4 linked regions of the Cricetulus griseus genome follow. The main gene of each other region encodes a partner of the protein of the gene in region 2 in a complex. Links are inferred from orthologs where the notes say so. Each region holds a gene or a part of one and is shown on either strand. Other genes may lie near its edges. The genes, in order: Grb2, Shc1, Ntrk1 and Itgb3.

Region 1 (7,084 bases), on a different chromosome or scaffold from region 2:
GTCTGCCCTAGTGACACCTGGGCATGACAGTCACTCAGCCAGGACCTTGCTTCCTGATCACTGCCAAGCCTTCAAATCTTTTCCAGGAGTCTCTCCAGTTTAGGGCTTAAAAAAGGTGAAGGCATTCTGAAGACAATCCAGCAGGAGGCAGCACCGAGCTTCAAGCTAGGGGGGGCAGGACACTAGCGCTTCCTAACTAACACTCAGGGCAAATCTGAAACCAGATACACTGTTTCCCCTATGGACACACATTGCAGCAATATGAAATCATTTAAGTTATTTAAAATCCAGGAGTTATTTCTGCAGTTTCCACTTGATCTTGGTAACTGAAATGGAGGAAAGCAAGACCAAAGCAGTCAGACAACTTCATTATCACATTTTCACTTGGAAGCCAATGCGCTGGCGAAAGCAGAGGACTGCACATCCGAAGGCCTTGTCGAGGGCCCTTCTGGGTTTGCACCTGGCTTCCGGAGAGTGCAGGTCACTGACTGCCAGGGTCACTTCTACCACGGCCTTTTAACCAGACTCTGACATCTCGAAACCAGTGCACCATCTCCGAGATTGAGGCCGTGTGAAGCCCTTGGTTCTGTGAAGATGCCTGTGTTAAAGGCAGTATTTCATACTCTCTCTCTCTGCCCACCTCTCCGTGTGCACGTGTGCCAGCATGTGTGTGGAAACCGAAGTCAATGATGGAAGTCTCTGCCATATTCTCTCAGAACCAGCAGCTCACTGATTAGGCCAGGCTAGCTGGCCTCCTGGCTCCAGGGATACCTGTCTCTCTTTTACCCCAGCTTTTACACGATGGGTCCTAACTCGGGCCCTCATGTTTGTGAGGTAGGTACTCTATCCTCCCCCTTATTTTATTCCTAAAGTGATAGCACATTAACTTTTTTTAAAGTTTAATTTTTAAAGTTTTATTTATTTATTTATTTATTGGGGGGGGGGAGAGTTTGTGGCTTTGGAGGCTTGTCCTGGAACTAGCTCTCGTAGACCTCACACACACTGGGCTAGGTCTCCATCCCTTACAAGACTTCCTTTGATGGAAGGGAACAGCTTGGCCTTAAGGGCATCTTCAGGAAACGCACAGAGCAGGGTCTGTTGCTACCCACTGGTTGGTTACTTCTTTCTCCTTCCTAAGCTGTTTTACTGCTACTAGGGGCAGCAGAGGCCAAAAAAGCAGATGACACACAAGCTGCTGAAGCATAAAATGGTAATTCTACAAGCCCAGCTCCACATGCTGTCAGAGCCATCCGCACATGTGTCTGGCCAGGAGCTTCAAGCCAGGTGGCGCTCGCCTTCAGTCCCAGCGCTCAGGAGGCAGAGGCGGGTGGATCTCTTTGAGTTCAAGGCCAGCCTGCCTGGCTCACAGATCACATGACTTCCAGGACAGCCAGGGCTGTTACACAGAGAAACCCTGTCTGGAAAAACCAAACCAAACAAACAAAAAGACCTTCAAAAGTCCTGGTTGCAAGAGGAAACTATTCTTACACTGAGTTTGAAAAAAAAAAAAAAAATACTGCAAGCCAGCTGTGGCAGTCCACGCCTTTAATTCCAGCACTCGGGAGGCAGAGGCAGGTGAATCCCTGAGTTTGAGGCCATTTAGACAAAAAGCATAACTTTGTTCTGGTGCCTAGATTGGAGGCCTGATATTCCTACTACACAAAAGTGAAGGCAGGAAGATGGAAAGTTCAAGGCCAGTCAGGCAATTCATTCATTCATTCATTCATTCATTCATTCATTCATTCATTCGCCATGATGCTAGTTAACAGAACCCTGAAACCCACACCTGCTACACCCAGTTCCCAGCGTGGGCAATGGAGCAAGACCTTGGTCAGTGCGTTTAAAAGACAACGGCAGGACTGGTGGGGTGGCCCAGTGAGCAGAGGCGCTTGTGCACAAACCTGACAATTTGGGTTTAAACCTCAGATCCCTCAGGGCAGCAGTCTGTCCTCTCATGTCCCCGGGGATGGGGTTAGAGGCACCAGGTTCCCCCAGCCCTTTATGGATAAAGAATGAGGGGATGTACCTACTCACGCCTGTCATCACAGCACTCAGGAGCTCAGCCGAGACAGGCAGAGCACCGTCAATTAATTTGAGGACAGCCTCTGCTATATAGCAACTTCCAGGATAGCCTGAGGTAAGAGTCTGTGTTGGAAAGAAATGACTGAAAAGACTCTGGGGGTGGGGCTTTTGCAGTAACATGTTAGCTAGAAAAGGATGACCCCCCCCCCAAAAAAGATGACCAGTCAGACATCATGGAAAATCAGGATCTCACTATATAACTCAGTCTGGCCTGGAACCCACCGAGATCTACCTGTCTTTGCCTCCCAAGTGTGAGATAAAGGCACGTGACACCTTGCATGTCTAAGTCCTATCTAGATTTTTGACAGGGAATCCCACCTACTCACAGAAACATTTTCAAGAGACATGAAAAGCCTCAGATAGCATCTGGTCCAGGTGAGCAACAGGAGCTGAGATGACATGTGTTATTTATTCTGCCTGAGTGGCAGCAACTATACTGAAGGCAGGACCAGGGACCCAGGGACCAGGGACAGGGACAGGGACCAGGGCTGGTAGGGAGTAGGAAACCGGCTATGAGTGACATCAGTTCCTGAAGGTTCATGAAAAACACTAGGATTTCCATGGAAAGATTTGTTAACATCTTCCCACAGCCTTACATTTCAGTCAATGGCAGCAGGTTTCTGTGGACACTCCAGCAGGAAATACTTACTTGACAGACAGGGAGAAGTCCCCAGGGGCACTCTCGCTCTCTCGGATTAGGAAGGCCCCATCATGCCTCTGTTTGCTAAGCATTTCTTCTGCCTTGGCTCTGGGGATTTTGCCAAAAAACCACCTAAGGAAGGAAGGCAATCCAGTCAACATCTGCTTCCCCACAAAGAAACTGGGCTGTCCAGCCTCACACGTAAATACGAGATCTCTTTGCTGGTGGAAGCTACTCTTCACAAGCTGGTCTCCTGCCTAAGGCTCACCAGGCCTGCTCTGGCTCAGTGCCTTCCAGAGAGATGAGCTGAGCTTTGAAGCAGCTCCACCCACTCCACTCTCTAGATCAAGACTCAAGGAAGGCACCGGTGCAGGCCACTCTTCAGACGAGACGATCCCCAATGTGCCACCTGAAGTCAGGTTTCTGAAGCCAAAGACAACCCTGCCCCAAATTCATCAGAAGGGCACTCAGGAAAGCCCTGCCGCACCTGCCACGTGGGGTGGGGGGGAGGATGGACTGGACTCGGGACCGCACAGAGTCTTGTCAAGCCTGAGTGCAGGAGGGGACTTGGAAGGACTAGAAGCTGGAGGCAGGGCTGCTTCTGCTGAAGCACAAAGGGAGGCTTAGTTGGTGAGAAAGTAGACAGGGTATGGGTGCCAGCACTCCTCTCCAGCCTCAGGACAGGCTCAGGGTGCAGCTTTCCCAGCCCCTGGGAAAAGCCCTGAAGGGAGACAGAGCATGGGGGTGGAGGACACACTGCTCAGTGACAGGATACTTGCATTGAGTATCAGCCTCACATAAAAGCCCAAACAAACAAAAACCAAACCACAGGATCAGGAACATCAGAAGTTACTACACACAGAGCTGGGCAGCGGTGGTGCAGGCCTTTAATCCGAGTGCTGGGATTAGAAGTGGCCACACCGCTACTGCCTGTCTCCTAATTGGAACTTTACAAAATAGATGTGTCAAGAATAAAAAGGCTGAGTGTGTGATGCACAGCTGTAATCCTAGCCATGGGGAGGAAGAGGAAGGAGGAATAGTGTAACTTCAAGGCTGGTCTGGGTCTCATTCCAAAAACCTGTCTCAAAAACTAAAACAGAAGGAAACATTAGTTTGAGAACCATTTTATGAACCAAAAATTTCTTGTCTATCTGCACCTGGTTCCAGCACACGGGGTCGGGAGACCCCATACAGCAGGAGGAACAGCACTCAGCATTCAGTCAGAGACTCTACTTTCACAGGCTTTTATAAACCCAATAAGCTTCTCTAAAAGTATTCCTGTTTGCAGTGCTGGAGGCAGAAGTCAGGGCCTTGTGCGTGCGGGGCTGGTCCCCTCTAGCACTGAGCTAGACCGAGCCTGACGGGTCCTTTTAATGGTGATATTTATGTATAACGGCATGCCTACAGACAAACGTTCTGCTAGTCTTTAAAAAGACTGGTCTGTACTACCCTAGAAATAGCAAGCAGGAAAGCCAAGGGGGGGTGGGGGATGTATTTTCCAGGGTATTATTTATAGCACGCCATAGGCTCCGCCCACATGTACTTACTATGAAGAGTGTGTGGATCTGTCGGCCTTCACAGGTGGCTGGCACTCTATTGTATGTACTACCTCTACAAACAAAGGGGAGCAGGGCTGGCCTCTGGCACACCACACTGTGGTGTCACACTAAGCACCAGGTACACTGGGCTACTTGGCGGCCTGTAAGTCACAGAGGCAGGCGCTGGGGACCAGCAGCCCCCAGCACTATCAGAGACTTGGAGAGAGACTTTTGAATGTTTAGTTCCTTCTGCAGAGCTCAGGCGGAGGGGGAGGGGCTGGGACTTTCCTCCCTCCCGCCAGTGCAAGGCGCCCAGCAGACCATGCTGATGTAGGTGGGTAGGAAGTTATTTAAAGTTATTTAAAGGACCAAGGGTTTGATCCCAGGCCCCCCCTGCAGGTTAAGGGTTGCGCCTCTGGCCCTTTCCTTCTTCCACTTCTTCCCCCAACCCCAAGAGATGGTAAGCAGGCATACCACCACGCAAACTCTCATGAGAGTGGCTCTCCTGTCAGTGGCAGTACCTACAGACTTTCCTTCCACAGGAGGGTGGCTCTATCTTTAACAACCTGATTGAAAAATGCCTGTGTTACCAGACCATCTGGAGGGCGCAGACCACGGCAATTTGCACCCAGGAGGCGCTGGTTCTGATCCAGCACAGCTGTCAGGAATCCACAGCTCTCAGGCTATCTTGCTATGCAAGCCCAGGCTGGCCTTCCCTTTCTTTAATTTCAGTTAGTGTGTGAGTGTGAGTGCTCGGGTACTCGCCACCTATAACCCCATGGTGCACCCGTGGAGGTCAGGGGGCAGCTTCTGAGAGTCACTTCTGCCCTGGGATCTGGGATTGAATTTGCGCTGTTGTCAGGTTTGTCAGCCCCTGGGCAGCCCTGCATTTGTGATCTGCCTACTTTAGTCTCTGGAATGTTGGGAAATACAAGTACACACCACCACACCCATCCTTCTCCTCTCTACTCTAGTGCTGGGAATCAACACCTCGTGAGTTTGAGGCAATGCTCTACCATGAAACCATGTGCCTTTGCAGTTTTTATTTTTAAAATTAATATTTTTAAGGCACTAGGGGTGGATTCCAGGGCCTTGTGCATATAAAGTGAGCCCGGCCTTAATGGGCCACGAAAGCACAAACTTTAGGGGAGCTTGGCATTGTCCAGTGATGAATGTTTGCCTACTATTCAATTCCCAGGATAAAAGAAAAGAGGGGGAGGGTGGGAAGGAAAAAAAAAAAAAGAGTTGTGTGTGTAGAGGTGGCTAACTGTTTAAGAACATCTAATGTTCTTTTAGAGGACCTGGGTTCAGTTCCCAGCACCCACATTAGTGGCTCACAACCACCTATAACCCCAGTTCCAGAGGATCAATGCCTCTTTTTGATGTCTGTGGGCTCACATACATACACTCAAACACAGACATATAAAAGAAACACACAATTTACTTTTTTTTTTTTTTTTTGAGACAGGGTTTCTCTGTACTGTTTTGGAGCCTGTCCTGGAACTCGATTGGTAGACCAGGCTGGCCTCGAACTCACAGAGATCCGACAGCCTCTTGCCTCCCAGGTGCTGGGATTAAAGGCGGGGGCGCCACCAACGGCCGGCCACACTCCTTCAATACAAACTCTCGGGAGGCAAAGGCAAGAGGATCTCTCTACAGAGAGAGTTCCAGGGCAGTCAGGGCTACACAGAGAAACCCTGTGGTGATATATTGTTTATGATTTATTAAAGCCACTGGAGATCAAAATACCAAAGCAGCCACCCTGGTTAGCTACAGATTGAGGATTCATGGAGACAGGATTGCCATTTCAGCTTGGTAGAGGTAAAATCTACTGGCTTGGCTGCTTTGCTTCTCTAGTCTTCAGCTTGAGGCTTGAACCCTAATACCAGTCTCTGGGTCTACAAAGCAGGCTTACTAACACCACAGGAATCAGATGTAAGAAGTTCATGTTGAAGTTTCAGAACTTCAGTTTACCCCACTCAAGCCTGCCTTTCAGTAACCTGGGCCAGCTGTACTGCACACTGGGCCCCAATCTTAGGTTACAGGATCTCAGGCAAGAGGCATTCTCAGCCACGGACAGAGGTCCAGGAATCTAATGTGCATATGCCATTTATTTGAAGGTTTAGCATTTAGATTTCTTCATTAAGGCTTTAAGCCTAAATAGCAGCAAAAAAATTTTAATGAACCACTCTGTACAAAAAAGCAAGGTAGGCAGGACAGTGATGGAGCATACCTTTCATCTCAGCATTCAGGGTGCAGAGACAGGAGGGTCTCTGTAAGATGGAGGTCAGCCTGATCTACAGAGTGAGTTCCAGGACAGCCAGGACTACACAGAGAAACCCAGTCTCCAAAAAACCAAACCAAACCAACCAACCAAACAAAAAAAGCCCAAACCTCCAAAAACCAAAAAACAAGGTACAAGTTACAGTGGAATATAAAAGCAGAAGCCTAGTCTAATTCTCCAAGGGACCTAAAATCTTTTGGGTAGAAACTAAACTCACATACTTGCCCAAGAAACAAAAGCAAGAAAACTATACAAATGAGACCTTTCTTCATCTTGTAAGTCACCCCATGGAATGTCTAAACATTCTGAGGTGCTTGGCTGTTCTTGAGGTAAAAGACGTTTCCTTGGGGCTTCTTTCTCTCTTTTTCTTTCCTGGTAGCATCAACTTCCTTGTGGTCGCCCGCAAGCAATCAAACTCTGCATCTCTAGGTTAAGGCTGCCTGGACATTATCTCTAAGAGCTTCCCAGGACAGTGTGGGGATTTATTTCATCAAGGGGCAGGTTAACTGCAGATCACACCTTCTCATTATCCCATTATCT
Region 2 (7,830 bases):
TACGCCCAGTCTTCATGCCACTCCAAGTCCTGTAAGCCCTCTAACACAGGGCTGACAACCACGCTCCTGTTATTTTTTCATAAACTAATAACCAACACTGAAGGTCTTACGGAACTGTCCTTTCACTGAGAACACGAAACTTTCAGCTCTGCTTTGGCTACCTTCTTTCTTCAGTAGACTTTGGAATTTCAGTAAAGCGAGCAGTTCTAATTAGGAAAATTAACCTGCACCAACAACGTTATGCGAGTGATGTGAAAATTCCCAACGGTAGAACCGATCAAAACTCCTAACACGCTTCTATTTAACAACCAGCCAACTCCAAATTCCCTTTCATTGTTTTACGGACTCCGTCTACCTTTCGCGCATGCGCCTTGGTAGTGCATCTCCCCCCCCCCCCGCCTTCAAAAAAAAATAACAAACCTCTTGCGCACGCGCCGGCTCTGCTCCCTGCCCCCCAGCCCCTGCCGCCCCCGGCCTCGGTCACTAACTCCTTGTGTGCTCCATTTGTCGAGGCGCACAACTCGGCTGTAGTCCCCGCGCCGGTACTAACCGGTACTCGAACTCCTCGTCGTCGTATTTGTCCGAATAGTAAATCTGTTTGTGCGACATGACTGCTCAGCCCGAGGGCCCTCAGCCCCGCGCCGCCGGCCTCCCGACGACTCCCAGCAGCACGCGCTCCCACCCTCTTTGGCCTCGCTTTCAAACACACCGCCCGCACCTCCGATTGGTCTCCCCGGCAGGGGGCGGGACAGCTCCATTTTGAAGCCCCCGATTGGCTCGCGTTGGTGTCTCCGCGAGTGGTAAATGGAGTGCCGTGCTCAGGTTTCTGAAGAATGAGCTGGATCAAAGCTAGGACTCTCATTGGCTCCCCCTGAGCCCGTGCGTCTGCTCGTGCAGCCATTGGCCGGCTTCGGAAAGCAGACGGGTAAAGGAGGGACGGCGAGGTAGGGGGTCAGGGGTTAGTGAGGCCGGAAGTGAGTGTAATAAAGTTTGTCTGGGGAGGCTGGGGCCGGGGCAGAAAGTTGGGGCGGTGACTTAAGCCGACAGTTACGTGATCCGGAACCAGATCGGCCCGCGGTCCGGTGCGGAGACTCCATGCGACCCTGGTGAGTGTAGACTTTCTCTCTGCGGCTGACCCAATCCTCCTCCACCCCGGAACCCTCTCCCTGGACCCCACTTCCGGTCGTGTTGTAGAAGTCCCGCCCCCGAGACCCTCTCCCCGGAAGTCCCACCTTCCAACTTCAAGGGGCTCCCCGAACCCCTAGTCTCTTAATGTGGCGACCACACCCTGTCGTCCCTTCCCTGGAATTCCTACCCCCAGATAGGCTTTCCTAGCTCTGGAAGATCAGTCGTTTCATCTCTCTGAAACCGCCTTCTCAGGACTCCCGACTAAACCTAGTTTCTCAAAAGCCTGGCTTCCAAAACGGGCCAAACCTTGCTTTTGAAAGAACGGTTCGGCTTTGTAGAAGCGACGCCTCTCTGGGGGCCCGCCCCTTCTGAGCCCCGCCCCTTCCACTGTCCACGTCTGGTCCCGGAATGTGGCGCATTCCTCGTAAGGGACCAGGTCCCCTCAGGAGACTTTTCCATGCCGAGCTTGGGTCTAGTGCCTCAAAGCCCCGATCTTAAGTTCCGGACGCTTCATCTGCTTTTATATCCCTCTCCTTTCTTTAAGCCTTGGGGTTAGTTTTCCTGAGCTGTCGTGCTCCATCGGGGGGGGGGGGTTGAAATTTGTGATTGTAAGGAGATTATTGGCAGCGTGGTTTCTTTCCCCTGTAACCTTCTCTGACTGTGAATTAAGTTGAAGCGGCTGGCTTTCGTTTTTCGGCCGTAGAATGGATGAGAGAGTGGCTTAGAGAGTGGCTTGATCCCACTCCTTCCTGGGTCAGCCCCTATTCCTGAGACAGCCATAGGTGGTACCTTCCTGTGGCTGGACTGCACTAAGTTTGGATTTGTGTGAACCTAACAGGAGTGAAAGTTTGTTGCCATCAGAAGAAAAACTTGTTTTGGAGTCAGGAGTAGGGGTTAGTGCCTTTCCCGTTGTTTTTAAAAGACCCCTCCCCCTAACCAGATAACTCCTGTTTGGCCTTCATCCTGACCCCACTTGCCCAACCTTCCCTGCTGGAAACATTCCTGAGGCTTTCGCCATTTCCTGCTATTTCCTACCCTTCCAGCTTCCTCCCTGCTGGGCTGAGGTACAAAACACGGCTCTCCCCCAGCTGCCACTACCTAGCTTTGGTCCGGTAGATAATCTCCCATCTCTTTAAGCAGATTTAAAGGCTCATGCTTCCTTTTCTTCCAAATGTGCATACTCTTGGTCATTCCTTGCCTCTGGATATGAACGCTCCTAGAGAAAGCCATCTCTCAAGATGAAGAATCATTGTGTGTGTTTGGAAGTGTATGGCTGTGGCAGAATTTTTCCTCCTCTAAGAGCTGAGGTCTTACTTAGTAGACGGGATGACAGAGTTTCTTTTCAGGAAGAAGTTCGATATTCAGTAACAGCTCTCCTGGGATGGGGACTAAGGGCAGGTGAAAAATCGGAAGAATGATATTTAACCCGTTTTAAGTTCCGGTATTGTTAATCACAATCATACAGTTTTTAATTCTCCAAACTAAACCTAAAGGTAGTTTGGAGGTGAGCCTGTAAAGAAACTACCTTTTACTTCTTGTATTTGCCTCTCCCCCCCCCCCTTTTTCTTTTTTTAAAGGAAATAAGTGATAGTTTATTCTGGAGTAATGCTGATTGGTCACTTTCTTTAACTTCCTGATGGCCTTTAGCAGAGCTGTGGCAGGAAGCTGTGGGCAAAGGAATATGGGCTTGGTGTTATTATGCACTTATGGCCAGATCCCAACCTCTGGTATCCCTTTCTTCTTCCTGTCTTTATTAACACTGATTTGTTTATGGCCCTATTATCCCTTTGTGGCTTGTAGGCACCAGTTCTGTTTGTTTCATTTTCAGACCTCCAAGGCCAACTCCTCTACTAGTGTGAGGGACACTGTTGGGTGGACCTTACAGCCTGTAAGGAGAGAAATATGTCTGTAGGTCTAAAGGTAGCCTGATTGTCTCTACATCCTCTGGAAAGGGGTCCAGGAAGTCCATTGGTCCTTGGTAGGTAACAAGCCTAAGGGACAGGCTTGCTCTAGCTCTTGCCTAGTAGCTCCCAGACCACCGCCCAAATTGGCCTTATTCCTCCTGTTTCAGCTTTGCTTCCCTCTTGGCCTCGATCTACACCCACTGGGACAACTTTCTCTTCCTGGTTCCTTGCTCTTGTCCACAGCTGTTGTGGCTGAGGATGCTAATGGCCCAGGTTCCCTGGGGCTGCCACCTCACTTACTGTATGGTGGGGGGTGGGGATGGTCTAGGCTGTAAGAGAAATACTAAACTCTAGATCACCCCCCCCCCTTTCCTCCCTCAGCAGCTTCTGTTTCCTCCTTTATCCCTCCTAACCTTCCGGGCTTCCTGCTCTCTTTGGCTAGCCCATGTCAGTTTGGATTAATCCAGAGTTCCTCTTAACTCCTTCCTTTCCTTCTTTCCTCTTTTTCTTATTCTTCCATCTTTCTCTCCTACCTGGCACCTTCATCCTCCCCAGACAGACCCTAGTTGTTTGTATTGGGTAAGGGAGAGTGGCCTGGCTAGCACACATTGTGTGAGGAGGTGTCTCTGCCCCTCTGAGCCTGTGAGTCAGCATTGTCCTTGGGATTGGTCTCTCCCCTTGGTTCCCCGCCCCTGGGGAGGAGCCAGTCAGCTCTGGGTCCAGCCTGTACTCCTCAGCCATAAGAGGCTTCCTCGCAGGGCTGGGCAAGGATGTGGCCTGAAACTGTCTTGGTCTGACGTGGGAGAGCAGAGGCCACTTGTCCTTCGCTTCCCTAGGTCCTCTGTTATCACCAGGCTGCAGAGGTCAGACCAGGCTAAGGGCCTGGGGATGCCCCCTGCCTGGCCCCCTTGCCTGAATTTGGCAGGGGGGCCAGGCCGGGCCAGGCAGCAGCCCCCCTTCTCACCCCAGCCATGGATCTTCTACCCCCCAAGCCGAAGTACAACCCACTTCGAAATGAGTCTCTGTCATCGCTGGAGGAGGGGGCTTCAGGGTCTACCCCCACAGAAGAGCTGCCTTCCCCGTCAGCCTCATCCCTGGGACCCATTCTGCCTCCTCTGCCGGGGGATGATAGTCCGACTACTCTGTGTTCCTTCTTTCCCCGGATGAGCAACCTGAAGCTGGCCAATCCTGCTGGGGGGCGCCTGGGGCCTAAGGGAGAGCCAGGAAAGGCTGCTGAAGATGGGGAAGGGAATGCAGGGGCAGCCCTTCGGGACTCAGGCCTCTTGCCCCTCCTCCAGGACATGAACAAGCTGAGTGGAGGCGGCGGGCGCAGGACTCGGGTAGAAGGGGGCCAGCTGGGGGGCGAGGAGTGGACCAGACACGGGAGCTTTGTCAATAAGCCCACACGAGGCTGGCTGCATCCCAACGACAAAGTCATGGGACCTGGGGTTTCCTACTTGGTTCGGGTGAGTGTACATCCTCCTTTCTGCCCCCTCCCATTCCCCATCCAGTTCCTCTGCTCACTCCAGATTTGCTGGGACTTCCTGCTCTTCCCCCAACATCTGTGGCATTCCCCTAGTTCTTAACCCTGCCTGCCACATCCCTTCTCCAGTTCTATGCCTTCTGTTCTAGCCTGGGAGTCTTCTGCCTAGGTCCCCTTTCCTTTGATCCCTACCCCCAGCTTACACAATGGTCAAGCACATCAGAGGCTTTTAGTAAGTGTTGAATGAAAAATGACTTCTGGGTTCTTCCCTCTAGACTCCTCCCTTTTCCATAGCTGTCACTCCATCCCACCCAGTGCCTACAACTCCTCTCACAATCTCTCCACAGTGCATGAAGGTCCTCTTTGGTGGCCCTTCTTCACTATGGGGTGGTGGCCCCAGGAAGTAGGAAGGCTACTTTACCTTTACTTCCCTTAGGGACTACATAGGGCACAGTCCTAGAACCTTCTGCAAAGGGTGGGGTATTGCGGGGAGGGGGCAGCTGATCCATCCTTGCCTCCTTCCCCCACAGTACATGGGTTGTGTGGAGGTCCTGCAGTCAATGCGAGCCCTTGACTTCAATACCCGGACTCAGGTCACCAGGTTAGTGGAGAGGCAGGTGTATTGTTGGAGTCTTGTATGGAGGAGGAGGAAAGGTGGGCATTTGGTGGTGGTGCTGATGGTGACTTCTCATGGGGTGGCTAAGAGACCTGAAAGTTACACCAGTGTGTCTGACTGCAAAGAGCCAGCTCTGGTCTGGAGCACCACCTTACCCACGCAGCCTGGGAGACTGTGGGACGATGGATTACAAAAGGCTGCTTTTGGGAAGGGAATGGCAAATTTGGTAACTGGGAAGAGGTGGGGCTATAACCATTGAGGCCCTAACCCAATCAGCCAGGAAGCAGCCCCTCAGTGTCATCAAATATTAAAGGCCCTTAATTCAATCCACCACGACAAAGAGCCTGGAGTGCTCTGAGAATCTGGCCTGCTCTTCCCCTCCCCCAGCTTTGTGGCAGCCCCAGGCAGTGGGAGGCCAGGAGTAGGTCTGAGTACCCCTGTTTCTCTAGGGAGGCCATCAGTTTGGTGTGTGAAGCCGTGCCTGGTGCCAAAGGAGCCACAAGGAGGAGAAAGGTATGTGTGGTTGTGGTGGGCAGGGGGAAGGCAACCGCAGGCACAAGGGGAGGAGACAGAAGTGTCTCCTGGTGTTGCCAGTGCTCAGGTTCTGAGACTTGGGGCCTTTCCTAGCCCTGTAGCCGCCCACTCAGCTCTATCCTGGGGAGGAGTAACCTGAAGTTTGCTGGAATGCCAATCACTCTCACTGTGTCTACCAGCAGCCTTAACCTCATGGCAGCCGACTGCAAACAGGTGGGTGGGGCTGCTGAAAGGGACGGGGGTAGTTATGGGATGATGGGGTGGGGGGATCTGGAGGCCAAAAACCTGGAGTCCTCAGGAGCAACTGGAGAGTAGAGAAGGAAGAAATTAGAGGGCTTGGGTATAGTGACAAATTTAATCCCAGTACTCCAGAGGCAGAGGCAGGTGTTTGAGTTCCAACTATACAGTGAGACCCTGCATCCCTGTTACACCCCCCCACTCCCCCCACCCCCGCCAAATAGAACAAAATTAGAAGAGTGTAGGATTAGAAGCCGAGAGAAAGACTGGGCGCCAAGGTCATAGCTGGGGTGAGGACACGCGGGATCTTGACCACTCCCTTCCTTCTCCATCCCCTGCCCACATGAGAGAATGAGAGTGGGTGCCAAGGTCATAGCTGGGGTGAGGGTACACGGGACCCTGAGGCTGCTGACCTTGATTGTTCCCTTCCTTCTCCATCCCCTGCCCGCATCAGATCATTGCCAACCATCACATGCAGTCCATCTCGTTCGCGTCTGGTGGGGATCCGGTGAGTTGGGGAACAGAAAGGATGGAGGTGGGGAATGAGAGACTAGGGGTTAAGAAGATACTGACTAACAACAACAACAAAAAGGTGGTATTGGCTAGAGGATGGGCGTGGTGGCATATGCCTTTAATTCCAGCACCTCTAACTTCCAGGACGGCCAGAGAAATCCTTTTTCAAAAAACTGTGGGGGAGAGAGAGGATTGTGGGAATAACTGAAAAGGACAGTCTTAGGGGTCAAATAAGATGGAGTTGTAGAATTTAGCTAACCGGTCTCTTCTGAATCTATCCATAGGACACAGCTGAGTATGTTGCCTATGTTGCCAAAGACCCCGTAAATCAGAGAGGTGAGGCTTTTGAGTGACACTGGGTAGGGCCAATTGTCTGAGAAGCAAGTGGGACCTCTCTCCCCTACTCTCACCAGTTATACTTGATGGGGCTATCCTGCTGAGGATTGGGGTTGGGTCCTCCCAACACCCTACCTCAGCGCTCACTGGCAGTTTCTACTGTGCCCCCAGCCTGCCATATCCTGGAGTGTCCTGAAGGGCTTGCTCAGGATGTCATCAGCACCATCGGTCAGGCCTTTGAGTTGCGCTTCAAACAGTATCTCAGGAATCCACCTAAGCTGGTCACCCCCCATGACAGGTGAGCTGGTATAAAGAGTGTGAGGCGGCTCTTGAGCCTCAGGCTGGGATTGGGAGTAGTTTTCTTTTCCCAAGTTTGAGTTCCCAGGGTTCAGAAAAGGTAGTGACCTATGTGACCCTGCCTCCTCCTTCCTACTGTGTTAGGTCTCCAGTGGCTCAGCAGGAAATCTGTGAGGGCCATGCCTGCTGCAGAGATAGTTTCTTCCTTTTTTTTTGCTTAGGGTGGGGTTATATTCCAGCACCTCCCACTAGCTTGCCTTTTCTAGCCTGATGGACTCTGGCTCAGGTTCCTCATTTTTAGCCTATCCCTCTGTGGTTTATTATTGTTATTGTTATTTATGGTTTTTTGAGACAGGGTTTGTCTGTGTAGCAGCCCTGGCTGTCCTGGAACAGGACCCTCCCCCCCTTGTTTTGGGGGGTTTTTTGTTTTGTTTTTTCGAAATGGGTTTCTCTGTATTGCTTTGGAAGTTGTCCTGGAACTTGCTCTGTAATCAGGCTGGTGTCAAACTCACAGAGATCCACCTGCCTCTGCCTCCTGAGTGCTGGGATTAAAGGTGTGAGCCACCAATGCCTGGCCCCCAAAGATTTTTTATTTTATGTGTATGTGTGTTTTACTGCATGTATGTAAGTGCATACAGTGCCTGTGGAAGCCAAAAGAGGTCACTGGATCCCCTGGAACTGGAATTAAAGGTGGTTGTGAGCTGCCATGTGAGTGCTGGGAACCAAACCTGGGTCCTCTGCACCATACTCCCCCATTCATTGTTCTGTGCTTTCCTGCCTCT
Region 3 (7,556 bases), about 1.5 Mb from region 2:
GACTCTGCCTTGATGGAGGGATGACAGGCATGCACATAATCCCCAGTGCAAGCTCACAGACACAACACAGTCTCCAAAGATACACCCCCTCCTCCCCTCCCCTGTTCCGCACAGACAGTAACATATAGTCCTGGAGACACAAACATACACAGCCACATATCACACACACTGGCCCCTTGCCCTGCCCCTGCCCACACACTCACAGGTCCTGTAGGGAGAGGCCCTGCACAGTTTTCCAGGAAAGGGACTCCAAAGCATTGGAGGACAGATTCCTGTGGGAGGACAGACGCCCTGAGCCAGCGACCTCACGCTGACCCAGTCTGAGGCAGAAGCCTGAAGGAGGCTGCTGCCCCCACCTCAGCCCAGGCAATTACAAGTATAGCATGCAGTGCCTGTGAGTGTGTGGGAATGTAGGAATGTCGTGGGCAGGTAAGTCTTTCTGAGTATAATCTTCTCCTTGGGACAACAAGGGTTAATCCCACTTAACCCCCTCCCTGACCGACCCCAGGGAGAGAGATCCAAGGGAACAGCCGGTTGCCCTCCCCCCACACCTCAGCCCCAGCTGGCGAAGTGCTGAGGCCACAGCTGGGGTAAGGGGCTCCATCTGTGCTCCCACCAAGGAGGAGAGAAGGACTTCGGCAACCCCCTCCCCCGCCTAACCTCAAGACCGGGATGTCAAAGTACTTCCTCAGGTCCCCTTCCCTTCCTGTTCCTCCAAAGGCACTTCAAGCAGGAAGAGACCCAGGGACATAGCTCCCCAGGCAAAGGAGAGAGCACCCGGCCCCGGCTCCGCTCCTGGGCCCCCAGGAAACTGCTGCAGGAGGCTCAGTACTATATGTCTACAATACACTGCCACTGCCAGGACCCTGGTCTTTGAAGGACATGCCCTAACCACTCGCCTTGCCTACCATCCTTGACTTAATAGAGACTGGGTTGAATAGGAAAGCTCACACAAGGCCCCGGAACACCACCACCTTGGACACAGATTAGAGGTGGGAGTAGAACCTGTTCTGTCATGTATAGCCAGGTGACCTCAGTCAAGAAACAACTCAATTCCCAGAATCTTTACCTATAAAATGGGGATCATATCATCTCTGTCCCCAGGTTGGTTGCAAGCAGTTACTGCCATGGGAGTCATGGACTGCCACCAAATACACATTTTAATTTTTTTTAAGGTTTTTGTTATTGTTCTTTTGTTTTGTTGAGACAAAAGGCTGGCCTGAAACTTATATAGGTAGCCATATATGACCTGGAACTTCTGATCCTCCTGTCTCTACCTCCCCAGTGTTAGGATTATAGGCATGTATCACCACACCTGGTTTATGGAGTTGGGGATCAAACCCAGGGCTTTGTGAACAGCAGGCAAATCCTCTACCAACTGAGCCATATCCCCAAGCCCAAGTGTACATTTTTAAGCCAGTACATATAGTAGGTAACACAACACCTGTGTTCAGTTCTCCAGACCCATCTGAGGGGTTAGAGGACCCAACCCAACCCTGTGAATGACGGGCTCCTGACCCAGGGAGGTGCTGCTAGAGACTCTAACTGTATCTTCTACCTACTCCATGGCCCTCCCTGTCCTCTACAGGACAAGTAGTTATAACGCAGGGATGAGGAGGGTGAAGAGTAGCAGACAGAACACACCACCTCCCAGGTTGGCCTGGGGGCAGGTCAGCACACACCACAGGAGAGGAGATGAAATTCTGACCAGAACCCAGGGGTCTTACTCCTGCCCCTCAGTCCCTATGAGCTCCAGGCAGAGAGCCTGGCTGGCTGCTTTTGAGAAACATCTCTGAGTCAAGGAAGTGAGGCAACAGGGATTCTAGTCTGACTAAGAAATGTCATATGGAAAGGAGCCCAGGCTGGACAGTTCCCTGGGCAGCACAAAGCCTATCAGCATCCAAGTCCGGAGGTCCCTCTCAGCCCCACCCCACGGGTCCAACCTGGGCACTCACAGGTGACTGAGCCGAGGAGTGAAATGAAAAGCATCGGGAGCCACAAAGCGAAGGCCACTCTTCACAATGGTTCTAGGGAAGGGGTGAGAGGAATTTAAACTCTGCCCTCTGCTCACCCAGGCCAGACACCCCTGTGGAGCTGTGCACCCCTCTCTACCCCTTAGGCTCCACAGTTATCTGGACCCCTCAAACCCCTGAGCCTCCACACTTCTCCCAGACTCCCAGGTCTTCTGAGAGCCCAATATATGTGGCCACCCACCACCCTGTGCCCAGTCCCACCCGGTCTACCCTTAGTCCTCACAGGCTTCTCAACTCCCCCAGGCCCTGCAAGTCCCTGGACTCCAGGCGTTGTAGGTGCTGCTGGTTCTCCACGTAGCTGCAGGGAGAGGGGTGGTGAACAGGGTCAGGGCCTCAGTGGAATTACCCCATTCCCACCAGCCACCCACCTCCCTCACAGGCACCTTTCACACACAGACCCATGTCACCTACTCATTCATGCGCATGCCCCCACATGCTGGCACGACTCACAAGTCACACATGTGCATACAGGCATGCATGCACCCTCACCTTTACAAAATACAGACTCTCACATGCCTCCTGCAACACATAGGCAACTGCACAGAAACACACGGGGATATCCTCATACTCTCACCCAAGGACACACATGAACAAAGCTCACATAGACGTCTCTCACGCATACACAGATGAGAAGGTGTGAAGATATGTTAGCCAGTGCACACTGCCATTCTCAGCTTGGGGCTCCACTTTGATAGCAGGCCCCTTCAGCATATATATGCTCAACAATAAGCGGGTCGTGCTGGGGCTCACTTCCACAAAGGGCAAGGCTCTCAGTGCTGCTGCTCCACCCAGTGCTAAAGATGCCCCAATGGTCATGCTAATGTGTGCCCCAAACACAGCTCTGAGACTGCTATCTGGGTTCACTGACCCCAAACACACACACACACACACACACACACACACACACACACACACACACCACCCTCTGTCCCCTCAAAACCTTTCGTTCTTCCCTACAGCATCCCTACTCTCCCCTCTCCAGTACTTTTCCAAAACAAGCAAAAAGCATAGAGCTGTTAAGGACCCCTTAGTCCCTCCTCAGTCCATGAAGGACACAGGAAGGGAGAGAGGAGCATGGAGCAGATGGAGTCTGAGTGTGTGGCTGAGGAGAGATGGAGATACAGTGTGAAACACAGGAAGGCTGAATGAGGTAGCAGAAGGTGGGCAGAAAAACAGAGTAAAAAACTCAGAAGAGACTGAGTAGTGGTGGTGGGAAGGGACATACAGATAAGAACAGGGGGCCACAGAGATAAGGACTGAGAACCAGGGATGCAAAAAGAGAAAGACGGCACTCGGGGTGAGGTGGCTGTGGTTGTGGTTGCAGTCCTATCTTGTGGATCTGGCGTCCCGGAGTTCCTGTGAAGTTACTTCCCTGTAGTGACATGTCCTCTGCAGTGGCACGTCCATGTTTCCTCTCCTCTCCCAACTCCCGTATGTGGCAGGGGCCCCTGACTCACTAGCAGTTCTCAGAACTCTTCCCCTCTCTTTTAGATTTTCCCTTAGTAAAAGAACAGCGAGGGAACAGGCTCAGTCCAGCCCCCCCCCCAACCCCAGCCCTGCTTCCAGCCTTGACTTCAATGGGACAGTACGTGCCTATCCTCAGCCTAGAAGCCTAAGGAGATGCAGACGGCCACTTTGGGGGAGGCCAGATCCCTGTTCTGCCCCAAGGGTTTCAAGCTTCAGAGACCCAGGGAGTTGATAAGATGTGAAGAGCTGGGTAAGTAGGGCTGTCAGGCAGTGTACTCCAAGCCGCCTCATTTGTTCAGATTCATAATCAATCTGTCTATTCGAGTCCATTAGCTCCTTGTTAGCTATGCGGGTGAGGGAGGAGGGAGAGGATTGTGCAGGACGAGGTGGGAGGATTGGCCCCACCCAGGGGGACATCTCAGCTCACCGCTCTGCCAACCTCCTCTTCTACAGCCCTAGCTTGCCCACTGCCTCTGTCCCTGGGCTGGACTCCCTTGGAGCCTGTTAAGGCACTGGGGAATGAGAACGCTGAGAGGCACAGTCAGGAGCCGGGACTCTGGTTTGAATGGGCAGGCCTGGGAGCAACAATCTAGACCTCATGCCCCCTCCCATCATGCAGGAGCCTAGGCCAGACCAAGACAAGGCCATCCCCTCTCTTTTTGGTCTCCCTAGGGCCATTAGAAAGAGATTGAGTATCTCCGTTAATTACTACAAGATGCCCGAGTAACTCGGTGCCAATCACGGCCAGCTGCTGGTTCTACCAGCATGCAGAATACTCAAGTATTTTCCAGCCATCACCCTGGGATGCTGAGTCCCTTCAGGTCAATTATACTCTCATAGGTTTCACCAGCTGCTAAGAAGTACTTGCATATTTTGTAACCAATTATTGCAGAATGTCAAAGTACTGCAGAGCTTAAGGTTCCGCCCAGCTCTGGACCTGGAAGAAGTGAGAATCCCTCAGCAACAGCCCTGACTCCCTGATACAAGTAGGGAGACATTGGTGAAAGGGGAGACGGGAGAGAAGCAAAGGGCTTTCATTTCCCACATCCAAATCAAGAAGTCAATGGAAAGAAGAAAAGCTCATACAACAAGCTGGTTCCTCATCAACTCCAGCTCAATCACAAACCCAGGGAAGACCTAGGGTCCCTGGCCAAGACAAGGGAGAGGTTGGGGACTGGCTTCCCTCTAAGATAGAGAAGATGGCAAAGGTGCACAGTGCCGAATTCTCCACAGCTAACCCCCACACCGAGGGGCAGAATTTGGGCTCTTGAATGAACCCCACAAAGAGGCTCCTATATCGATGGACCAAGACCTGGTCCCCTTTTGCTCTGCCCCAAGCCAGCACCTCAGCCAGCTACCCTTAATCCTGGGCGACGTCCAGACAGTGACTGCGCGGCTTTGCCAGGGTGGTGGCAGCAACAGCAAAGCCGCTGCAGCACAGCCAAAGGTTACACGTGCCAGCCTCCTACAGCAGCCAAGCCTGGCCCCTCAAGCCAGCGGTGAGTGCGCGCCCTCGGGGAAAGGCTGTGCCCTCCTGACCCCGCGTGCCTCCCCCGCCACACACTCACAGCTCCGTCAGGTTCCCGGCGCCCCGCAGGCCGTGGAGGGTATTCAGGGCCCCTGCCCTGGTGCAGCGAAGCCCCGAGGGGCCCACGGGGCAGCAAGCCTCAGGACAGGATGCGGCGCAGGCAGAGGCCAGCATCAGCGAAGCCAGCAGGCCTCCTAGCCCCGCGGCTCGGCAATGCCAGCCCAGCTGCCCGCGCCGCTGGCCTCGCAGCATCGCGGCGGCGCCCGCCAAGCTTGGGCTGCGCCGTCCGTCCGAGCGCTCTTAGCTGCCACCGCCCGGCCTCGCGCGACACGTGCGCGGGGCGGTGTTAAAGACCAGCCACCAGGAGAGGGCGGCACCCGCGGCCACGTCCCGCCCCGCCCCGCCCCGCCGGCCGGTGCCCCCAGCGCCCCCTCCTCCCCTTTGGGGCCCTAATGCCAGCTAGCCTCCCTAATGTCCCTGGCGGCTGCAGTAGACCTGGGGCGGAGGATTGCTACAGGACGCCTCACAGGCGTCTTCTGAGACTGGAGCGGGCTAGGAAGCCGATACGTTATTTCTCCCAGTAAAACAGCTGCATTTTCAGATTTGCAGGGACAGGGAGAGATTGAGCAAGGAGAAGGTTGAAGTCCAGGTCATCCCAAACAGCCTCGCGGTGCACATGCCTAAAAGAGTGTGCATGTCACTTGGAATAAGTTTGATGAACACTCTCCAGACGCTAGTAAGAAAAGGGAGATGGCCCCAGAAAGACCGGACGCAGAACCTGCGGAGGAAAACAGAAGGGGCAGAGAAGTGTTCTCTCAACACAGCTGGAGGGAGAGTGGAAAGTGGAGACCGCTCAGTCCGCAAGAGACCACAGGGTGGCGCTAGAAGCCCTTGCGCCGCGGCGTTTGCGCCGGGCCTGGGTCTTCGAGGGCCGGGAAGCGCGCGCGGTTCGCAGCCCTGCCAGCCTGTGCCTTCTGTCTTAAGGTCAGTCCCCAATCGCAGCCAGCCAGTTGGGGCACAAGGCCGGGTAGGGCCAAACAGAGCAGGGCTGGCATCGATCGCCGTCCTGACAAGTGCATCGATTTCTGAGCGGAGAAATTAATAGATCTCTTAGCTCTTCGGACGTGGGAGTTGCCCGCGGGTAGAGCTGGGAACCATCGACCCTTGGTATTTGTGAACCTGGGAAGTCCCAGGATCCAGCATTCAGGCCATCAAAGGGCAGGTGTCGCGCATTGGCCTTCCTGGCTGCAAGTCTATTAAGTCTCACACTTTTTTGTTTTGTTGTTGGTGGTGGTGGTTTTTGTTTTTGTTTGGTTTGGTTTTGGTTTTTCGAGACAGGGTTTCTCAGCAGCTTTGCAGCCTATCCTGGAACTAGCTCTTGTAGACCAGGCTGGCCTCGAACTCACAGAGATCCGCCAGCCTCCGCCTCCCGAGCGCTGGGGTTAAAGGGGTGTATGCAAGTCTCACGCTTAAGAGGGGACAGACAGGTGGGCTCTGGGAGTGACCGAAGTATGTAGGACCCAGCTAACCAGTGAAGGATAGATAGTCTTAGTGGCAGTTAGCTTTCTGCTCCAGGTCCCAGCATGAATAGTCCCTCGAGTGTCTTCAAACGAGTACACAGAGTATACACAGAGCATACAGAGACACACCAAACATCCCGAGTTCTTAAAAGTAACCAAACGAAGGAGGAATCTCACAAAGGGACTTGGCAGGGACGCGCCCCGCGGCAAGGGGTTATGGTCAAAGTGGCCTCAGGAGGCTGGGGGGTGCGGGGGCTGCTAGAGGCGAAGGTCTGAGATCTTCAGGTTCCACAAGCGGACTATGCGACCTGTCCAGCCTGCGAGAAGTTACCCTCTAGGGTGTCAAAACACCTGTTGGACTCCAGAACCTCCGCTCCTCAGACCAGGGCGCCCAGTCGCTGGCTCGCCGCCTCCAGGTCTGCAGCGAGCAGAGGCGGTGCCAGAGGTGGGAGAGAGACGCCGCCAAGATTCAGTTGGGAGCTCAGTTCTTGGCCCCCAACCCCTTCGGTATTTTGGCCTTATTTCCCCCAACACATCTGTCCCCCACCTCCCTCAGTTGTCAGGCTAAATATTTTTACTTGACTTTGTGGGAGGGGCGCAGAGAACAGATAAGTCGGCACAAACCAATCGGTTTCTGGAAAGGGCGGGAGTTGGGTGAGGTCCCTGCGTTGCAGCCCCAGAAGCTGCGGCCGGCCGGCAGAGGTTGCAAGTCTGTGTATGCCCGGGAGGTCCGCGGAGACTCGGGGTGGGGTCCTGCGAGCCTCTGGACCCCCGCCGCCATCCCCCGGGCGCTCCTGGGGCTTTCGCTCCGTCTCCTATTGGGACCGTCTGGCCCCTGGACCTTCGAGTTCTGAATCCTGGGTCAATTTCTCCCTCTGGAGGCCTCTCTGAGGCTCTCCTGCTCCTGTTCCATCTCCCTCTGTTGCAGCCTCCGTCTCTGGCACAGGCTTTGTTTCCTCTGTCTCTCGCTGTCTCTACTTGGGATTTCTAATCCCTTTGCCCCTGTGC
Region 4 (7,084 bases), on a different chromosome or scaffold from region 2:
TGTTCAGTTGATTACACAGAATACCCATAACCTAGCTCCAACCAATTTGTAAATGTCTACAGCCTATCTGTCCCAAACAGGATTAAGTCACAGTGACTACAGTCCAACATAAACCTACCTCCAGAGCCTAAGAAAAAAGGCTCGGCCTGTCCATTTGCCCTGAGAGTTCTAAAGACCACATTAATAGTGATTTGGCTTCTCCTGGTCAGGAAAACACCCAGAAATGGGTCTTTGGGACCAGTTTGAAGTTATCAATAGGCCTGGGGGTGGGGGGGTGCACTGAATTTGCAATAAGGAACAACTCGGATCCTTCAGGCTCAAAATTACAGTTCCCAGGATGGAGAGACAGCTTGCATTGCCAACATGAGGACCTGAGTTCAGATCTCCAGCACCATGCTTTAAAAAAAAAAAGCTAAACTCAGTGGCACATGTGTGTAATCCCAAAATTAGGAAACAAAAACAGTTGGATCCCTGGAGTTCAGACAGCCAGCCTAGCCAACTGGTCAGCCCCAGGGTCAATGAGAGATCTAATCTCAAAGCATAACATGGAAAGTGATTGAAAAAGACACATAAATCTAGCTCTGGGATGGGCGTTGGTGGCGCATACCTTTAATCCCAGCACTCGGTAGGCAGAGGCAGGCCAATCTCTGTGAGTTCGAGACCAGCCTGGTCTACAGAGCAAGTTCCAGGACAGCCTCCAAAACAATACAGAGAAACCTTGTCTCTAAAAATCAAAAAAAAAAAAAAGTCTATCTCTGGTCACTATACCTATATACACACATGCATGCCTCGTGTGGGAGCACGCACACACACACACACACACACACACACACACACACACACAATTTTAATCTGCTGGTAGGAAGTCACTATGGCAACATTATCCAGTGGAACTTCCTGCAATGTCAACATGTTCAATATCTGCATGGTCCAATATGATAGCCACTAGCCACATGAGGCTACTGACCAACTGAAAACTGAATTTCTGTTTCTATCTCACTTAGTTAATAGCTACACATGGCTAGTGGATACCATTCTGGACAGCACATGAATACACGCAGTAAAAAACAGATGCCAAAACAAGGATAACATTTAACACAGGTACACCACTTCCCAAACACTGTTCTGGTGCCCCCAACGTCCTGCATATATATCACTACTGTCTACTGGTGATAGAACGATAAAGTCATGTAAAATGATTATGAACTTTACAGTATATTCCGATATCATATATTTTCTGTCTGTAAACACTAACAGTTTAATTACCAAGAGACTGGTTTCTTTAGTTGAAAACTAAGTCAGTCCTTATATTCAAAAGGATTAGGAACCTGAAATATCAGAGTGAGAAGAACAAAAAGCAAAACAAGCTACCTCTCCTTGACGTTTCTCCACTCCTGCCTACCTCCAGCTTAGCTTCCTATGCCCCACGAACAAGCTAAAAGATCCGGTTCCCTCCCTCCTCTGCTTATGTCTGGGTTTCCACTCTGAGTGAAATGGATTCTCAGTTCTGCCCACCTTGCCAGCCTCAAGCCTTCCGAGTGTTTCCCAAGGCACCGGGGTGTGTATACATGCACGGCTACCGAGCACACGGGTGTACACTTCTACTGAGGTGTGTATGCATGCATGGCTACCGAGCACGCGGGTGCAGGCTTCTACTCACCAGAGCACATCTCCCCTTTGTAGCGGACACAGGAGAAGTCATCGCACTCACAGAACTTGCCAGTGATCTTGCCAAAGTCACTACTGTGACAGACACACTGGCCGCAGAGGCACTCGCCTCTCTGGCTGCAAATGGGTTGGCCCTCCTTGGAGACGCACTCTTCCTGCTGGGAGGGTCGGTAGTCCTCCTCAGAGCACTCACACATGGCTCCCAGCCAGCCCTGGTCACAGCGGCACACTCCACACTCAAAGGTCCCATTGCCGTTGTTGCAGCGTGGGCTGAGAGGCTGGGCAGAGGCCTGGCAGGCACAGTCACAGTCAAAGGAGACCTGGACAGTAAGGCTATCCTTAAAGCCCACAGGCTTGATAGTGAAAGACTGCTCTTTCTCCTTGGGGCAGCCGCGTACCTTGGCCTCGATGCTAAAGCTCACCTGGATGGAAAGATGACATTCAGACCTAAGTGGATCTGAGAAATGCTACGATGCACCCTACCAAGGAAAACAAAACTAGGTGTCTGAATTCAACCATCCCAGGGGGTTCCGTGACCTTAATACTATCAAAGTCTACAGAGTAACAACGACAGTGGCATAGAAGTTACCACTGTGACACATCTGACTGGACAGATGGTTACAGACAAGCAATAGAAGGCTGTTCTATTCCCGAGAGAGAAACCAGCTGAAGCAGGACAGAATCAGTGATTTTTGTGAGCACTACACTAGCCAACTAAGCCAGCTGGAGGATCAATGTTGCATATTAACAGCAAGACAACAAGATTCTGCTTTGTGCCACACCATGCCAAAGAGTGGTTAATCAGTCCCAAACTGAAGGATACTGTATAAGGCATCATTGCAGCGTGTGAAGTGTGGGGCTGTGGACATACATGCTTGGAAAATAAGCTTACAGGGCAATGGACCAAAAGATTGACTTCTTGTCATTCCTCCCTGCCATCCACCAGTCTCTTAGGTAGAGCAGAGGAGGACCAGCACACAAAGAAAACCCGGGCAGCTAGAGAGATAACTCAGCAGTGAAGAATGCTGGCTGCTCTTCCAGAGGACCTGGGTTCAAATCCACATGGCAGATCACAACCCTCTGTAACTCTAGTTCCAAGGAATCAGATACCATCTTCTGGCCTTCACAGGTACCAGGCACCCACATGATACATAAATATGCACATAGGCAAAATAACCATATGCATAAAATGCAAAACAATAGCCATCAAGAAAACCATGGAGGGAATGCAGGGGCAATATGAGCATCTGCACTCTTAAGTGAGTCTCAAGGGGTCCAGGTATTTTTTCCTGTCCACTTGCTGCTGGATTTTCATCACCCAGAATAAAGCCTGGCGCACAGTCAGTGCTCAGCTAAAGTCTACAGATGATATACTGCCATTTTATGTCACAGAGAAAAGAAAGGCACTACTCTGGGTGAGTAGATAAGAGATCATTTCATTTGCAATCAGATATACAGGTGTGAATATCTCAAAAACTGATGGAGATGTTAACTCAGTGGATACAGAAACTTTAGGCAGCAGAAGCTTCAAGAGGAAAGGTTAAGAGCTCTTGAACTTCTAATCTGAAAAGGGTTGGAGTACACACAGACTCTGGGGTCCACGTCACAGCTTCAGTATCAGTCCCTGCCTCGCCCACTGCCCACCTTACCGTGTCTCCAATCTTGAGTCCCACACAAGACTTGAGGCCTGGGATGACCTCATTGTTGAGGCAAGTGGCATTGAAGGATAGTGACAGCTCTTCAGGGAGGTCACGCACTTCCAGCTCCACTTTGGAGCGGATTTTCTGAGCAGAAAGGGACAAAAGAAAGTAAAGACACAGACAAAGGCCAAAAGCATCCCACGCAAAGCCAACCCAGAGGCCTGGGACGTGCTTTGGTAGTGCCGGATGCTGAGGGTTATCTGCCCGTTGCTGCCAGAATGTCTCTGTACTCAGTTGCCTCTTTTGTGTGTGGCTAGGACCTGGCTCTCCCTCATTCTGCCCTACAGATGCTCCTTGTCAATCTGGCCCGCATCTACAGTCCCCTCCACCTCTAAGCGCCCCACTCACCGTCCGTTCTGCCCTAGCCTTCCTTTCTCTCCCACCTCCTTTCCAGAAGATGTCATCTCTCCCAGGGCTGGCCATCCTCTAGGAGCACAAGAGGAAAGCAGGAAGGCCACATGGGAGAATGGCAGCCTAGGGCTCCCAATGCTGAGCTCTGTCATAACATGGGCCTGCATCTTTAGGCATGATCCCACAGGCAAACCAGGCCACGCACTCCAGCTCGCTTTGGGACAGAGTTCCAAAGCAGTTTGTACCGTGACTTGACAGTTGTCATTGTAGAATACTTGGCTTCTCTATGTGCTGTGTTCAACTAAATCACATGATATGAAACTTCCTGCCACTCCTAAAAACATAAAAAGCCAGACCTTTCCTTTGTTCTAGGAATTGGTCTAGAGAGAAAGGCTGCTTTTGAAGAGGGTCTCTTTGCCTTCACGCTCATGAACATTGTCTCTCTTTGGCTCCCCCTACCCACTCTCCTCCTGACCTCTCTCGATCTCACTCTTCTGTGTTTGTTTGTTTGTTTGTTTGTTTGGTTTTTCGAGACAGGGTTTTTCTGTGGCTTTGGAGGCTGTCCTGGAACTAGCTCTTGTAGACCAGGCTGGTCTCAAACTCACAGAGATCCCCCTGCCTCTGCCTCCCGAGTGCTGGGACTAAAGGAGTGCTCCACCACTGCCCAGCTTCGCTCTCACTCTTAATAAAGCTCCTCTTCAGGCTTTAAAGGGACACCTCTTGTCCCCTTTAAGGCCCTATTATGTTTAGACCTCCCTATTATATTGTTTCCATCTAATGCCTCCCTTCCACCTCCAGGCCCAAGCATGGCCTTGAGGCCCATTCATTTTAAGAAATTTCAATCCTGGGGGGAATTTACATGTCAGGCTCCCATTGTAGAGGGACCACTGCATCCCACTTTTACTTCTTTTTAACACCCTCTGCTCAATGAGCCACATCCAGCAGACTCGACCAGCCCTCCCAGGCCAATATTCTTACCCCATAAGCATCAACAATGAGCTGGAGGACATTGCTTGAGTCAACAGACAGGATTCCCACTGTGGTCCCCGGAATGAGCTCACTATAATTCTAGAAAGGAAGACAAAGATGTCCACAGCTTGCTCAAGGAAAGTGGTCTCCTCAAAGTCCCCCTAGTCAGTCTTTTGGGGGGTGGGGGGCATCAAGACAGGGCTTCTCTGTGTAGCCCTGGCCGTCCTGGAATTCACTCTGTAGGCCAGGCTGGCCTCAAACTCAGAGATCTGCCTGCCTCTGCCTCTCAAGTGCTTTAATTAAAGGCGTGTGCCACCACTGCCAGACTGACAGTCTTAAAGTGAAGTTGTGAGGACACTGTGGGATGCCTCACTTGTCACTACCAGAACAGATCTATCAGATTTTCATATCTGAGGGAAAAGTAAGAAACCTTTTTACTCCCCTCCCCCAACTGATTTATCTCCTCACCATCATCTCAAACATCTACACCCTCTTCCTAGCAGGTTAGAGGCTGAAGGAAAAAGGCTATAGGGAGTTATGTTAAGTACCCAGAGAATGAGTTTTAAAAGGATTTTTTTCCTGGTTGGGTCCATGGCCACCTGGGACAGGTCCATCTGTGGCAACAGGACGGAAGCCCCAGAGGCATAGTTACCTGGTAGAGGTTGGCCACGTCTGCAGTGACTGCGAAGATCAGGTTAATGTTATTCTGGGATAGTTTCTCAGTCATCAGCCCCAGAGACGGGTAATCCTGGAAAAGAGGGAAAGGTTCATGGGGATATCGCCAAGGAAATGTGAAACTTAAAACATTTATGCACTAATCAAAGTGAGGTGTTGTGGTTTGGACATGGCTCCAGTGTGTCCCTTGGGTTTCATGTGATGAAATTGAATTCACACTGTGAGATGCTTGGGTGGGGGGGGGATGAAGACAAGCCCCGCCCCCCAACAGTACTGGGGAGTAGAGTATTCGGGAAGTATGGTTAGAGGTCATTACAGCAAAGCCCCCAGAGTTGAATCCCACTAGTGTCATGAGAGGAGAACAATGAAAACAGAAACCCATACACACACTCCCTGACCTCTGCTTCATGCCGGCCTGAGTCTTGGGACTCAGCCAGCAAGATGACCACCAGATGTGGTCTCTCAAACTCGCAAGTTCTAAGAACAAAACTGAAGTTCTTTTCTGGCTTACTGTTAGCAACAGAAAGTGGATATGAAATGAAAGTTGCTATATGAGTGAGAAGGGCAATGCAGTGCAAGCTTAGCAAAGAACCCTAAGCTGGTGGTGTTCCAAAGCCAAGCACCTTCCTTCCCACTCAGATTCAAACCAGCTCCATGAGTTAAGGCCCACCGTTGCAGAGCTGTGGGCAAATGTCCTAGCCTCGCTCTACTGATCAACCAACACGTGACCAACAACCATCACTCACCCCTACTCCTCTTCTACCAGGCACTGCTCTAGCTCACTCCTCCTGCGAGTGACCTTCATCTTGGCAATCCTCCTCCTTCCTTAGCCAAAGCTCACCTCCTCCAAGAGGCCTTCCTTGACCACCCCAGCTCCTAAGGAGCTTTCCTCTTCCGGCTGCCAATAGCCCTTGACTGTATAACACACTTAGCATTCAGCATGCATTCGCTGCTATTGATAAATGTGCTGGAATATATCCTCTCTCTTCATCTAAACAAAAAAACTTGTAGGAGTAGGTCCTTATAGCTTTTTCATCTCTCGCAGCTCCTGATCAGTGCCTTGTATAGACTAGTATCAGAGTCCGATAGTGCTCAGCTTGTATATGGCTAATACCAAGGACTTGAAGAGACCAGGAAACAGTATGAACCAATATGTCCATGGGCTCATAGACCTTGCAAGGGAGCTCATGAGTTCTCTAGCTCAGTCTCCTCCCTTGAATCACTTTTAAGCCACAAAATGGTTCCTCTATTGACTAGAGAAAATAAGGAGTATGTTTTAATAATAAATAAGGTTTTGTTTCTTATTTAAAAATAAACAGTAGGCTGGGGATGGCCTGGTGGATGAGCAATTATCTAATATACTATGAGACGTTGAATTCAATTTCCAGACTAAGGGAAAAAAAAAAAAAAACAGGCATGGTGGTATAAGCTTCTAATCCCAATACTCAGAAGGTTGAGGCAGAGGACTGCAAGGAGAAAACCAGCCTGGGCTATATATAGAACAAGGCCCTTTATCATTTAATCAATTAATTAAAATCAGGTATATTGTCAAATTACTGTAACCCCACTGATGTGAAGGTGATGGCAGAGGACTAAGAATTACAAGTTAACCTGGACTGCATGGCAAAGCCCTGACTCAAGAAAATGAAGGGGGGTAGGGGGACAAGACAGGTAAAAAAAAAAAGTCAAGACTTTCTCCAAATACCCTAAGTGTTATTATT

The links.
Region 1: the proteins of Shc1 (region 2) and Grb2 are in contact, whole or in part, in an NMR structure (PDB 1QG1), measured with the Homo sapiens proteins. The link is inferred for Cricetulus griseus from reciprocal best matches to the Homo sapiens genes SHC1 and GRB2. Residues at the interface, in NP_892113.4 of Homo sapiens: Asp423, Asp424, Pro425, Ser426, Tyr427, Val428, Asn429, Val430; in NP_002077.1 of Homo sapiens: Arg67, Glu71, Arg86, Ser88, Ser90, Asp94, Ser96, Gln106, His107, Phe108, Lys109, Leu120, Trp121.
Region 3: the proteins of Shc1 (region 2) and Ntrk1 are in contact, whole or in part, in an NMR structure (PDB 1SHC), measured with the Homo sapiens proteins. The link is inferred for Cricetulus griseus from reciprocal best matches to the Homo sapiens genes SHC1 and NTRK1. Residues at the interface, in NP_892113.4 of Homo sapiens: Met176, Arg177, Ala178, Leu179, Ser259, Ile260, Ser261, Phe262, Ala263, Ser264, Gly265, Gly266, Lys279, Asn283, Arg285, Ile301, Ile304, Gly305, Phe308, Glu309, Phe312, Lys313, Gln314, Tyr315; in NP_002520.2 of Homo sapiens: His489, Ile490, Ile491, Glu492, Asn493, Pro494, Gln495, Tyr496, Phe497.
Region 4: the proteins of Shc1 (region 2) and Itgb3 are in contact, whole or in part, in an NMR structure (PDB 2L1C), measured with the Homo sapiens proteins. The link is inferred for Cricetulus griseus from reciprocal best matches to the Homo sapiens genes SHC1 and ITGB3. Residues at the interface, in NP_892113.4 of Homo sapiens: Ser175, Met176, Arg177, Asn182, Arg184, Thr185, Gln186, Thr188, Arg189, Glu190, Ser193, Leu194, Arg208, Arg209, Lys210, Arg214, Pro215, Leu216, Ser217, Ile219, Met257, Gln258, Ser259, Ile260, Ser261, Phe262, Ala263, Ser264, Gly265, Pro268; in NP_000203.2 of Homo sapiens: Trp765, Asp766, Thr767, Ala768, Pro771, Leu772, Tyr773, Lys774, Glu775, Ala776, Thr777, Ser778, Thr779, Phe780, Thr781, Asn782, Ile783, Thr784, Tyr785, Arg786, Gly787, Thr788.

Annotation. Positions count from the first base shown.
Region 1 is NC_048600.1:128,243,491-128,250,574, forward strand, and holds part of Grb2 (growth factor receptor-bound protein 2), read right to left. Parts: intron 2,855-7,084; coding exon 2,732-2,854; intron 1-2,731. UniProt on the Homo sapiens protein: Non-enzymatic adapter protein that plays a pivotal role in precisely regulated signaling cascades from cell surface receptors to cellular responses, including signaling transduction and gene expression.
Region 2 is NW_023276806.1:65,123,768-65,131,597, reverse strand, and holds the start of Shc1 (SHC-transforming protein 1), read left to right. Parts: upstream 1-3,594; 5' UTR 3,595-4,003; coding exon 4,004-4,498; intron 4,499-5,045; coding exon 5,046-5,116; intron 5,117-5,580; coding exon 5,581-5,644; intron 5,645-5,758; coding exon 5,759-5,878; intron 5,879-6,356; coding exon 6,357-6,410; intron 6,411-6,699; coding exon 6,700-6,751; intron 6,752-6,922; coding exon 6,923-7,049; intron 7,050-7,830. Other genes in the region: uncharacterized protein LOC118237705, read right to left, coding at 489-901. UniProt on the Homo sapiens protein: Signaling adapter that couples activated growth factor receptors to signaling pathways. Participates in a signaling cascade initiated by activated KIT and KITLG/SCF.
Region 3 is NW_023276806.1:66,667,793-66,675,348, reverse strand, and holds the start of Ntrk1 (high affinity nerve growth factor receptor), read right to left. Parts: upstream 5,281-7,556; coding exon 5,069-5,280; intron 2,332-5,068; coding exon 2,257-2,331; intron 2,028-2,256; coding exon 1,956-2,027; intron 273-1,955; coding exon 204-272; intron 1-203. UniProt on the Homo sapiens protein: Receptor tyrosine kinase involved in the development and the maturation of the central and peripheral nervous systems through regulation of proliferation, differentiation and survival of sympathetic and nervous neurons.
Region 4 is NC_048600.1:117,668,037-117,675,120, reverse strand, and holds part of Itgb3 (integrin beta-3), read right to left. Parts: intron 5,437-7,084; coding exon 5,341-5,436; intron 4,788-5,340; coding exon 4,698-4,787; intron 3,453-4,697; coding exon 3,318-3,452; intron 2,091-3,317; coding exon 1,661-2,090; intron 1-1,660. UniProt on the Homo sapiens protein: Integrin alpha-V/beta-3 (ITGAV:ITGB3) is a receptor for cytotactin, fibronectin, laminin, matrix metalloproteinase-2, osteopontin, osteomodulin, prothrombin, thrombospondin, vitronectin and von Willebrand factor.